Cricetulus griseus: one gene and its partners. The main gene of each other region encodes a partner of the protein of the gene in region 2 in a complex. Links are inferred from orthologs where the notes say so. Each region holds a gene or a part of one and is shown on either strand. Other genes may lie near its edges.

Region 1 (4,045 bases), on a different chromosome or scaffold from region 2:
TCAATTCTGGATAATGACTGGTAGGGAAGTGACCATGTCCTTGAACATTCCAGGAGACCTTACCTTTCTGGATCATTTCCTTTGTCTTAGGGTGAGGCATTTTGATGAACATGTTCCCAAAGCAAACCATCACATCTTCTGAAATAGCAAACAGACATTACTTCAACACGTTTTATTTCTTCTTTTTGAAGCACTGACTATCTGCCAAGCACTGTTTGGATGCTAAGAACATAGCCCAACAAGACAAGTTCTTGCCCTTGTGGAATTCATAACAAAGCAAAAGACAGTAAATAAACAAGTTGTTTTTCCACATAGTGCTAAGTGATGGGAAGCATCAGGAGAGGTACAAGGGCTCTTTGCAGATGTGACATCCAGGCAGAGAACTGAGGAAAGGGGGGGGTATCTTCCCTAGACACCTGGGCAGAGCCCAGGCAGAGGGATGGCAACAGCCAGAACTGGCAGTGTTTTGGTGTCAGAACAACCAAGAGACCAGTGGGTCAATGAGTGGGTGAGAAAGTGGGGGCTAACATGGTGGAGTGTGTGGGGCGGGGTCATGTGGAATCAATCCTGCAGGACAACTCTGGGTTTTACTCCGGTGAGATAAGCAGCCAGTGGAATGGACGTCAGTGCCCTTCATTATGCCCTGAATGCTGCCCATCCTTCCAGAACTGCTTCAGGTTGTCCCCCACTTGCTCACACTGCCAAAGTCACAGCCACCTGGCTCATCTAAAGAGCCCCATCTCCTCCCTCCTAGACAGTCTCAACATCCACTCATGGCCAACTCCATCTTTAGCTTTCCACAATTTTCAGTTGTATGTTTACACTGCTTTTCCTCATGTGGAACATAAGGGCAGATCTATTATTGCTTCTAAGTGCTGTGTGCCATTGATGAGTGATAAGCTAATGGCCTGTCACTGAAGTGAGCAGCTCAGATCCTGAATCACAGCATATGTCTGACCTGCAACGTTTGCCCGCTCTTCCCCACAAGCTGTTTTCGTTTCCTGTGAGGCTGAGTCACACAGTCCCAGCCTCCTGCCTGCTCTCTAGCAGGGACAACAAAGGCCTTCACAGGAGAACTGCATCAGTTTCCAGGGCTTCAGTGAGGATGTTACAACTTACCAGAGACGCTCAGGTCCTTCTGTAGGGCCCTCAGGCCCTCTCGGTTCTGATTCCTCTTGGTATCCAGGTCTACAATCTGAAAACAGAAGCAGATAGGAACTCAGCTGCCTCCCGCCCCAACCTGAAGAGACAAGGAATCCTTCCTGGCTGGAGGCCAATGTCTTGGTTAACATGGACTGAAGCATGAGCGTGTTTCTTTACCCACTCAGTTGCCAGCCCCTCGGCCTGTACAGGAGCCTCCTTCCTCCAGAGCAGGTGCTAGGAAAAAGTTTACCAATTAGGAATCATTTGCACAGCCCAATTCAAACCTGAGCATGTACCAGGGTCATCAGAGAGTTTAGTGTCTCCCCTGGGCAGTTATTGTTGACAGGCTATTGTAGGAAAATCTAACAGTCTCCCCAGACATGGACGTACACCACCATGACAGCTACTCAGGCAATGACTCTGGGGCTGGAGTCCACAGGAATCCTGCTGCTTGTGAACCACAGAGGCCTTCTCACTATAGACCACAGGAGTAACTATGGCAGCTTTTGGAGACCATTTCCAAAGTATATTTCTCACCCCATCACTAACATCTGGTCCAAATCCAGATCTGGATAACTAAATTCGTGGTTCTCAGCCTGTGGGTCTTGACCCTTGGAGTCGAACAACCCTTTCACAGGAGTCACCCAAGATCACTGCAAAACATTGCAATTCATAACAGCAGCAAAATTACAACTATGGTTCCGGGAGGTGGTGGCACATGCCTTTAATCCCAGCACTCAGGAGGCAGAGGCAGGCGGATCTCTGGTGAGTTTGAGGCCAACCTGGTTTACAAAGCTACAAAGAGAAACCCTGTCTCCCCCCCCCAAAAAAAATTACAACTATGAAGTAGCAACGAAAATTACTTTATTGGGGGGGGTACCCATAACATGAACTGTATTAAAGGGTTGCAGCATTAGAAGGTTGAGAACCACTGATCTCAATGGTTCTTTGCACACTAGTTAGCAGCTAGAGAAGACTTTTAAAACCTAAGTCCCGTGCATGCACGCCTATAATCCCAGAACTCAGGAGGGCGGACAAACACGGACTGTTCAAGGCTATCCGAGATTACACAGTGAGTTCGAGGCCAGCCCCAAGACACATGAGTCCCTCTAAAGTTTAGAGTCTAAACCAACCTATCAATCAATCAAAATCCAAAGATAACATTCTCAGCACTCAGAACTCCCTTTGGAGACTCACCACTTAATCATAGATCCAGAGCCAAGCTCCCCTTTCGGGTCTACGAGGCCCTCCAGCCTCCCCCGCCCCACTCCACGTCACCCTACCGTCCAGCCAAATGCCGCTCGGGTCTCAGCAACCTGACTCACGATGGGGGTCGGGGAAGCCGCATGCAGAGGGTAAGGTTCCGGGGGGCCCGCAGGGACAGGGTCAAAGGGAGGCTACTGCCCAGCGCAGAGGAGGCGCTCGCTCCGGAACCCCGCGCGCTTGCCTGCTTACGAAGCTAGCCGCCGCCGCGTCTCTCACCTGCCGCTTGTCCGACAGCACCGCCTCGGCCAGCTCCTCCACTTCGACCAGGTACCGCATCACCCGCTCCGCTTCAGGGGACAGCATGGCGACACACAGCTCTCAAGACACCTTCGGCACCGCTTCAACGCCCCTTCTGCTCTATCCACGCACGCGCCGCGCTGAGGACTTCCGGCGCGCCTGCGCAGTGAAAAAAAAAGGGCCCTTAGAGGGGTGGCGCATGCGCATCAGCGGGGCGCCGGAGGGGCGGGTCTAGCTTTGGGAGCGGGACAGGAGCGCCCCCTTCAGTCTCTGAGGGAGCAGCCCAGTGCGCTGCCTTCTTTGCTCTCCCTTCAAAGGGTTGTTGAGCATCCACCGTGTACCACGTTGGATGGAGCAAGGAGTAAAACATCCCGACTTTAGAAATGTCGTCCCAGTAGGAAACAACGAACACTGATGGGAAAATAGTTACATATTATGGGTGGTAGAGTTAAGAGCTTTGGAGACACAGAAATCCTAAGTCCTGTTTAACGACGCCGAGAAACCGAGTGTGGCAGGGAGACTTATATTTAACCGGTGATACTTTCAGCTTCTGGTTTGTAAATAATGGGTGATAAAAATTACCCCCCCACACACACACACACACTCTCTCTCTCTCCTGAAGATGAAAAGGAAACAGTAATCATTTTAAATCTCGTCTGGCTGCTGCGTTTGTTGAATCCAGTGTCCTCAGTAGCAAGCTGAGACCCACACAGAAGGAGCTGGAAATTGTCCAGGGTGAGCAGTGAAGTGTCAGTAAGAGTACAGTTGCAAAGCTGGGGGCTCAGAGGCGAGGCCTGGGAGTTTTTGCCTCGCCGATGCCATTTTGCTTATCTGTGTATATAACTGGAATTAACCCAGTGCCTCTCACACGCTCAGCTCTGCCACTGAGCTGTATGCCATTTGTGTGGGTGTATGTGCTGTGTGTGTGTGGGGGTGTGTGTGTGTGGTGCATGCATGTAAGTGTGGGGGCACCTGTGTCCATGCAGACACATGCAGAGGCCAGAGTAGGGTGTCAGCTGCTTTCCTGTCTTTCTCCACCTTCCTGCCTTGAAATAGAACCTCTCACTGAACCAGAAGTTCGCTTTTGGGCTAGGCTGGCTAGCCAGTGAGCTCTGTGTATGTACCCAATGCTGAGGTAACAGTCCCACACAACCGTGTCTGGATTTTTATTTATGTGGGTGCTTGGGATTCGAACCCAGGGCCTCATTCTTTCAGAGTGAACACATACTCACTGAGCCCTAAGGCCCAGATCGGATGTTCACTTTTTAGTCTCCTTTATTGACTTCTGGCGACTTAGGTCCTTAATACACTGGCTCACTTGATTTTCATGGCCTCTTTTGTATAAATAGGGTCATTACTGTTAAGTTTTATAGCTGCAGGCTTAGGCTGGGAGCAGGAT
Region 2 (4,240 bases):
TAGGGGAGTCTAGCATCTAGGTTATCCTCCAGGCTCAGCCCTTCACTTGCTAAACATTTAAATAAAAATAGAGAGAATTATTCACTCTTAACTACAAGTTAGCCCATCTTCAGTAGAGGACTCCAATGATGGACCATATAACTATGATGTGGGGTGATTAAGCACAGCATTTTGCCAGTCTCTGCCTAAGTCTGGATCATGGAATGCAAGCAACCAAGCAGAAGTCATCCAAGAACTTCTTAAAATTTGTGTCTGTTTAAATATTTTTTATGTGCTCCTGCCCATTCCTTTTACGGAGGATGAAACCCAAAACCATGTGTGTGAAATATACGTGTATGTTTTGGGGTTTTTTGTTTTGGTTTGGTTTGGTTTGGTTTGGTTTGGTTTTGGTTTTTCGAGACAGGGTTTCTCTGTGTAGCTTTGGAGCCTATCCTGGCACTGGCTCTGGAGACCAGGCTGGCCTCGAACTCACAGAGATCCGCCTGCCTCTGCCTCCCAAGTGCTGGGATTTAAGGCGTGCACCACCAACGCCCGGCGTATGTGTTTATAAAATAAGCAATATTCAAATTTACCAATTGCCACAGGATATACTGCCCTCTTTATAGATTAGTACCATAATCCTTACTAGTCTATAGGCAATCTTGTGCTTTTTAAATTATCAAATGCTTATGTGAACTCAGTGAGGTTTGTTTGTTTGTTTGTTTTGCTAAAGAGGACTTGAAGGTGGAAGGGAAATGAGGTAGGAGGGGTCTGGGTGGAGTTGGAAGGAGGGAGTAGGGAGTGGATATGGCAAAAATACATTGCATACATGTTATGAAATTCTCAAAGAATAGAAATGATTTTAAAAGAAAAAAAAAAAGGTGGGGACTACATAGATGGATCTATGGTTAACAGCACTGGCTATTCTTGTAGACGCCCCAGGTTCGATTCCCAATGCTCACAAATATTCAGTAGCTCCAGCTCCAGGGGATCCGACGCCCTCTTTTAGCCTCCACGGGAACTGCACGTACATAGTGCACACGCATGCAGACAAAAAAGATAAAATAAGAAAAAAAAAACAATTAAGACCGGCGAGAAGGCTACAGAAATGGTTCGGCATTTAAGAGCACAAAAGGTTCTTGCAGGGGATGTGAACTCCGTTACTACCACCCACATCATGGGAGCTCACAACTGCATTTAACTCCAGTACCGCTGCCGCGCTCGCTCAAACATGCGCGCGCGATTCAAACAAGCTGTAAACGATTTACTCCCTCTCCCTACCTTCCTGTGCGTCCAACCTCCCTCAGAACCCGGCAAAGCTCATTAGACTTCACCCGAAACAGCTACCCGCGGCTGTCAACCACTAGCCGGCTAGCAGACAGCCCGCCCTCTGACTTCCTAGTATTCTCCAGGGTTTCCTTAAGATCCCGCCTCAGCGCTCCACTTTCAGGCGGTCTCCTCTCATTCTGGACCGCCCCTCCATGCTGGAAACACGTCATCCACCCGCGCCACCCGGAAACCGCGGTTCATTCTAACCTTAGGTGGCCCTAAGGTAAGCACGGCGCTTGGGTACCGGTGAGTGACTGCGTGTTAGAGTCGGGTTGGGCAGAAGGAGGAACCCCGTAGCATGAGCCGAAAGAAGTCATACCCAACGTTAAGAGGTTGGAGAGAACTTTGTGAAGTTAAACAGGAGCACTCAACGTGGTTTTTCTCCCTCCTCACTCCCCAGGAAGCCTATCATGGCGACACCCCCGAAACGGCGGGCCTTGGATACTGTAGGAGAGAAAGTGCTGCGGTACGAGGCCTTTATCAGTGACGTACTGCAGCGAGACTTGCAGTGAGTGACAACGCAGATTCTAGGCGTGACATTTGAGAAATTCCACGTGGTGGGTGGGACAGAATCCCGGGAAAACTTTCGGATTGGCCGGGAAGAGGGGTTGACGTCCGGGCTGCGATTTGGTTGGAACTTGGCCCTTGTAGTGGAGCCTCTGGCGTCGTTCGTCGGATTAAAATAGTCATAAAAACCCACGACATTTCTGACTGGGCCATTTAGCCATTACTTATGAAAAAGTTGTACATCACCTCTCCTCTCTGTGCTTTATAAACTTTGCTCATCTGTGGAATGGGAAAGTTTATGGAGCCTTCTTAATGTGGTGGTTTTGAGTTTTAAATGTGTCTACCCAGGTAAAGAATGTAACCCAAAGCCTAGACTGATAACACAGGACTGTAATTCCAGCACGAAGGAGGCAGAAGCAAGAGGATCTTCGAAGTTGGAGACCAGCCTGGAATATAAACTTGACTGTCTCTAAAAGGGGGAAAAAATTAGAATGAAGCCAGGCTCAGGCTCTGTGGTGCATGTCAGTAGTCCTATCTAGTGGAGAGGTGGAAAAATTCATTTCTTTAGCCAGGATGTTCAAGCCAGCCTTAACAGTAGAACATGGTTTTGATAAAATAAAGCCCAGTGTTGTGACACAGGCTTGTAATCCCTGTACTTGGGATGGGTGAATCAGGACGATCCAGAGCTCAAGATCATCCTCAGCTATATTTCAAAGATGAGTACAGCCTAGGCTCTGAGACTGTGTCTCAAAAAAAGAAGACAATGGAGCCAGCAAGATGGATTGCCTTGCTTCCATGTCCTGAGCTAGCTCTCTGGGATCCACATAGTGAAAACAAAAAAACTCCCAAAAGCTGTCCTATGACTCACATGGGTGTACCACGGCACCCATACATGTACACAAAATAAATACATTAAGTAAGAATACTTTTTAAAACTTTACATAAACCCAACTATACTACAGTTGTATTAAGGCTGAGAGGAAAGAACTGTCTTGTGTACTCACAAGTAGCCTGGGAAACTCAGTTCTTGTCTCAGAAAATAAAAAACAAATAACCTGGATAGTTTTGAAAAGGAATTTAGCTCCGGTGGATGAAACATACTAAAAACTCAATAATTAGATGATTAGTATTGCTGTCATTATTAATGTGAACAGAAAGTTTGGAACTAGAGCAGTGTGAGCATGGAAGGTATGTGTAGGGTGAAGATGGAGCATTTTAATTGGCATAAGGCACTGAGTACAATGCAGTATTTGTAATAGTGATGGATAGAAAGGATACAGTGTTTACCATTTGGCTGGCATTTTATAGTAAACACTTGAGTCTAATGGTTCCTATGAGGTAATACTGTCATCTCTATTTTATATGTTGTGAAACTAAGTCCCAAATAGGTTTCCTAATGCCAAAGTCACATTGCTAGTAAGAGTTAGAGCTCAGGATGAAATACAGTCTGACTTGTATTTATTGAAATACTTGGTGTGTCTTTCTCTGTCTATACTATGCGCTCGCTCGCTCTCATGTCTCCGTGTGTGTGTGTGTGTGTGTGTGTGTGTGTGTGTGTGTGTGTGTGTGTGTGTGTGTGTGTGTAACACAGGATCTCACTATGTAACCCAGGCTGGTCTTGAACTCATAATCTTCCTGCCTCAGTCTTTCAATTACTGGGATTACACTCGTGAACTACCATAATTGGCTTAAAATGCCTTTTAGGCCATGATGTGAGATATCTCAAGAGGAATAGGGCTGCCTAATGATCACTCTTCTATTTCCACGTATCAGAAAGGTGCTGGATCATCGAGACAAGGTATATGAGCAGCTGTCTGTATACCTTCAACTGAGAAATGTAATTGAGCGACTCCAGGTAAAGGCTTTTAAATTGGGTATCAGTTTGTATATGTGTACAAAGAAGGAAGATGGGAAGAGAAACCCCAAAACAAAACCTTTTTCCTGCCTTAAAAATTGGCCACTGACACCTACTTCTTTTCTCCTGGCCCTACAGGAAACTAAGCACTCGGAGTTATATATGCAGGTGGATTTGGGCTGTAACTTCTTCGTTGACACAATGGTGTGAGTGTATTCCCTCCCCTCCGAGTTTCTTCCTTCTTTCATGCAACAAGTATTTCTTAATATGTTCTATATACCAGACTCTGGTCACTTTTATATTGCACTAGGATGTAAGCTACATGCTGTGGGTGTGAAGTGAATGAACATGAAATACCGGCCCTTACAGAGCCTTAACTTTAGGGAACTGGAGGGAATAGGAAACACCTTCAACTATACAATGTGCTAAATGGTAATAAAGACTTCCTCCACTTCCTCTGACTTCTTTCCTCAGCCCAGATACTTCCCGCATCTATGTGGCCTTGGGATATGGTTTTTTCCTGGAGTTGACACTGGCTGAAGCTCTCAAGTTCATTGACCGAAAGAGTTC
Region 3 (3,995 bases), on a different chromosome or scaffold from region 2:
AGAATTTACAACATCAGGACATGATTTGCATAGTGATGCTCAACAATCCTATTATCACTTATTTTTGAGCTTCAGTAATATTCAAAACAGCAATTTATCAAATATAAACAGATACAAAGCCACTCGATACTTGCCACCTAGAAAGGGCTGTTTGCATAGTATGTGCCATTATGTCATGTTACTGTCAGTGACAAAGGCTACCACAGCCACAGGGTTATAATTTACTCTTATAAAACAACATGGAGACCTTTTCTGATCAATGAAGGTTCTTTATATTACCACACGGGCACAATACTATAGTTCTTTGCTGCTGTCAAACTTCAGACATTTGATAGAATGCCAATTCATGATTATTACAGATTGCCACTGCAGTTAAATGCCCATGTGTTTTCACGACTGTTTGTTTATTCATCAGTTACTCTAAAAGAAGCTCCAGGTCAAGTCTCATACAGCGTTTATACATTCTGCCAATCTGGTCTCCAGAAGTTTTGTATTAATTTGCCTTAGTTCTAATATTTCATAAATGACAATATCAGAAATGTTGAAAATGTCAGTCATTTTAAAATGCTTGAAAGAGAACAAAATCATTTCTTCATTTAAGATATATTTTTTTAACAGTAAAACTACACATGAGACAGCAGTTTATTTATGAACATGTCATAAAAAAGGAATTAAATAGGTTAAGTTCTTGGAGCATTAAAGTTTGCTGTGGAAAAGGAAGTAATTGTTTCTTTTTTTGTTAAAAATGTAATAGGGAAAGAATCCTGTCAACTTTGAGATTTACTGATACATGCAGAAAAACATGAAAAACAAACTAGGATACTTTAGTTTTAAATTAGTATGTTAGAATTTTGTAATTTTAGCATAAATGATCTAATTCCTGATTTTAATATACTGTATACTATTCCGGATTCCAACAGTAACTTACCCGATTCTTCTTCAGGTTAGAAAGTTCATCCACAAGAATTTTTTGTTCTTTAATCTATTAAAATAAAGAAAAACCTAAAGTAGACGTTTTCAAAGTATGTTTGGTGAGGAAATTCTGAATAATGGGACTGGGGGCTGTCACATACCACCTGTCTAAATGGACACTCTACAGGGCAACAACACCCAGCTGGACTCCGTGGAAAACAGCTGGAGAAGGAAAAGCTGACTTAGACTTGCCAGCTGCCAGTTACCACATGGCTTATACCTTAACCAAAGTGAGCCACTGTTCACCAAAATCAATACCCACCCTTTAATTAGTTTTATAAAGTTTTGTTGTACACTTTTTAAAAAAAGAAAATGAATGTGTTTCTCCCCTTCCCCAACAACAATTACTTTTCATGTATGTACTAGATGATAGCCAGACATTCAGATAAATAGTATTGGATGCCCTACCTGGGGAGATACAGCATCATTTTTCATCTTTGCATCATTCTGTTTGCATGGCAAAGACTGCATACTGCTGTTATCATTAAGCTAGGCTTGTTTGTGACCATCAAATGAATGCCTAACTAGGCAATAACTAATTTAAGTAACCACACACCATCACACACAGTAATAAGAAGCAAGGTCTTTTTTAAAACTCACACCCGCCCTAGTGAGTATGCATCCTTATGTCTCCACGATGGCAGAGGTGAGAGTTATAGTGATGAACTACAAAGCCACACGAGTTCATCTTCCTTGAGACTCAAGTCTGCTTGTATGGTGTTTTATGTTCATTTTAGGAAAGACAGGTAGACATCTCACTTTAGCTGACACCAAAGAAAACTGTGATACAGTGGGAATAAGGTCACTAACCCAAGATGTCACTTGGGACAGAAAAAAAAAAATGTAGAATTTAAAACGTTTAATACTCTCCACTATACATGTTTAAAGACTGTCTGTAATTGGAAGTTAAGATTAATGGTATAGTTCAGCAAGGTGGTGCAACCCTGAAATCATGGCTGTCAGGCAAGAGAATAAGGTCATGCTCCCCTCTCAAACAACAGTGTTTGCGCCTGGCCTGAGAGACACGAAAGCTCAGGAAGGAAGAAAGGAAGGAAGAAAGGGAGGGAGGGAGAGAGGGAGGAAGGAAGGAAGGAAGGAAGGAAGGAAGGAAGGAAGGAAGGAAGGAAGAAAGGAAGGAAGGAAGGAAGAGAAAAGGGGAGGGAGGCAGACAAAGATTAACTTGCAAGAGTCCTACTTAGAGACCATCAGATAAATGTATTTTAGGATCACAGTGGAGGACACAGGCAGCTGGGGACACCCTGAGTCAGAACAGCCAGTGACAGCGTCTGGAAGGACACTGGCAGATTTCTAAACTTTCGGGATGGATGTCAAGGATGGCCCCCAGGCGGGTGCGTAGCTAACAGGGTGAAGCAGATCCACAGAGCAACAGATCCGCGTGAAGGGAAGGGGGACGGTAAGGGGACAGCCCCACCAAACCTCCGCCAGTGTCTCTCCCCCCCCCCCTTTTTGGGGGACAAGCTTCTGTGCCTCCCTCTCTGCAAGTCTGCAGGAAGGAGGGGCAGCCTGAGGCGGGTGCCAAGAACCGACTACGGAAGCGAGGAGCACGCCGCCGGGCTGCCGGGCGCCGCCGGGAACCCCAGCCGGAAGGCGCTCCCCGGCCACCCACCGCACCTTGCTGTTAAGGGCCTCCGTGCGTGCATCCGACTTGTAGGGGGGCACCGGCGCGGCGCGATAGTCTGCTCGTACCCCACTTCGGGGCATCTCCACGCCGGGTCGCACGCCGGTGAGCCCACGGGGATGCACGCCGGTGAGCCGCCGGGACGGAACCGAGGACAGGAAGCCCTGATCCGGCGTGCGAGCTCTCAGTGGACCCGCCCCTTCCGGCATCCCGACCAATGGAGTACGCACACTCACCCCTGCGCAGTAGAGGGCGGTTGGGGGAGTATGGGTGGGAGACTAGACATAGTTATGGGCATGCGCAAACTGGTTTGAACTAAAGGCACAATTGCCTGGTTGCGGAGTTTATGAAGGCTCTGTGTCGTCCCCTAGCGGATCCGATGTATAATAATAATAATAATAATAATAATAATAATAATAATAATAATAATTATTATTATTATTATTATTATTAAAAGGTTCAGGTGAGCTGAGTGGAGACATGAGTATCTGGATCAGTCCAGGTGAAAGCAAAGATATTTTGAGACCAGGTGTGGAGGGGTATAGAGAAAAAGGCATCCTTAAGGTCTAAAACTGAGAAGTGAGATGTCGGGGGGATAGTAGAGAGGAGTGTGTAAGGGTTAGGAACCACAGGATGGAGGGGCACTACCATAGAGTTACGGAGGTCCTGAACCAGACAAAAAGTCCCATTAGGTTTTTTTACTGCCAGTATAGGGGTGTTAAAGGGGGAGGAGGTAGGACGAAGTAGCTTTTTCCTTAGGAGGTCAGAGATAATAGGTTTAAGTCCCTTAAGGCTCTGGAGTGGGAGTGGGTACTGAACTTGAGCAACGTACCTAGAGGGGTCCTGTAACTGAATGACAAGGGGGGATGGTGTCTAGCCACAGAAGGGTTCTGGTAGACCTTGGGGTCTACCTGAGAGGCTGGTAAAGGAAATGACGTACTGGAACCTGTAGGGTGAGTAGCTAGGAGGAGGAGGAGGGGAGCCGCTGGCGAGTCTGGAGTTGGGCGAATGTGGGGAGCAAAAGAAATAGAAGCTCCTACCTTAGCTAGAAGGTCCCTCCCTAGTAAAGGCACAGGACAAGTCGGTATAACCAAAAATGAATGAGTAAGGGGAATCCCCCTAAAAATACAGCTAAGCGGTGGAGTCTGCTGAGGTAAGTAAGGCTGTCCTCCTACCCTGACAATAGGAAGACGAGACAGAGAGGTGGGTCCCCAAAACTCCTTTAGGACTGAGTATGTGGCACCAGTGTCCAAAAGGAAAGAGATAAACCGCCCTGATACTTTAATGTCCACCCGGGGCTCCCTTTCAGAGATGATGGTGGTCGGGTCAAGAGAGCCTGGGCCCTGTCATTCATAGTCCTCATCCATAGCCAGGGCTAAGAGAT

The links. The genes of interacting proteins can lie anywhere in the genome.
Region 1: Uxt (region 2) and Pdrg1 share a complex: the UniProt entries of both Homo sapiens proteins name them as parts of the PAQosome complex. The link is inferred for Cricetulus griseus from reciprocal best matches to the Homo sapiens genes UXT and PDRG1.
Region 3: Uxt (region 2) and Asdurf share a complex: the UniProt entries of both Homo sapiens proteins name them as parts of the PAQosome complex. The link is inferred for Cricetulus griseus from reciprocal best matches to the Homo sapiens genes UXT and ASDURF.

What each region holds. Positions count from the first base shown.
Region 1 is NC_048599.1:26,995,298-26,999,342, reverse strand, and holds the start of Pdrg1 (p53 and DNA damage-regulated protein 1), read right to left. Parts: upstream 2,803-4,045; 5' UTR 2,713-2,802; coding exon 2,626-2,712; intron 1,196-2,625; coding exon 1,120-1,195; intron 139-1,119; coding exon 64-138; intron 1-63. UniProt on the Homo sapiens protein: May play a role in chaperone-mediated protein folding.
Region 2 is NC_048604.1:125,813,288-125,817,527, reverse strand, and holds the start of Uxt (protein UXT), read left to right. Parts: upstream 1-1,437; 5' UTR 1,438-1,531; exon of another isoform or gene 1,532-1,708; 5' UTR 1,709-1,718; coding exon 1,719-1,816; intron 1,817-3,588; coding exon 3,589-3,670; intron 3,671-3,808; coding exon 3,809-3,876; intron 3,877-4,144; coding exon 4,145-4,240. UniProt on the Homo sapiens protein: Involved in gene transcription regulation. Acts in concert with the corepressor URI1 to regulate androgen receptor AR-mediated transcription. Together with URI1, associates with chromatin to the NKX3-1 promoter region.
Region 3 is NC_048595.1:402,525,319-402,529,313, reverse strand, and holds the start of Asdurf (ASNSD1 upstream open reading frame protein), read right to left. Parts: upstream 2,803-3,995; 5' UTR 2,695-2,802; coding exon 2,605-2,694; intron 983-2,604; coding exon 929-982; intron 1-928.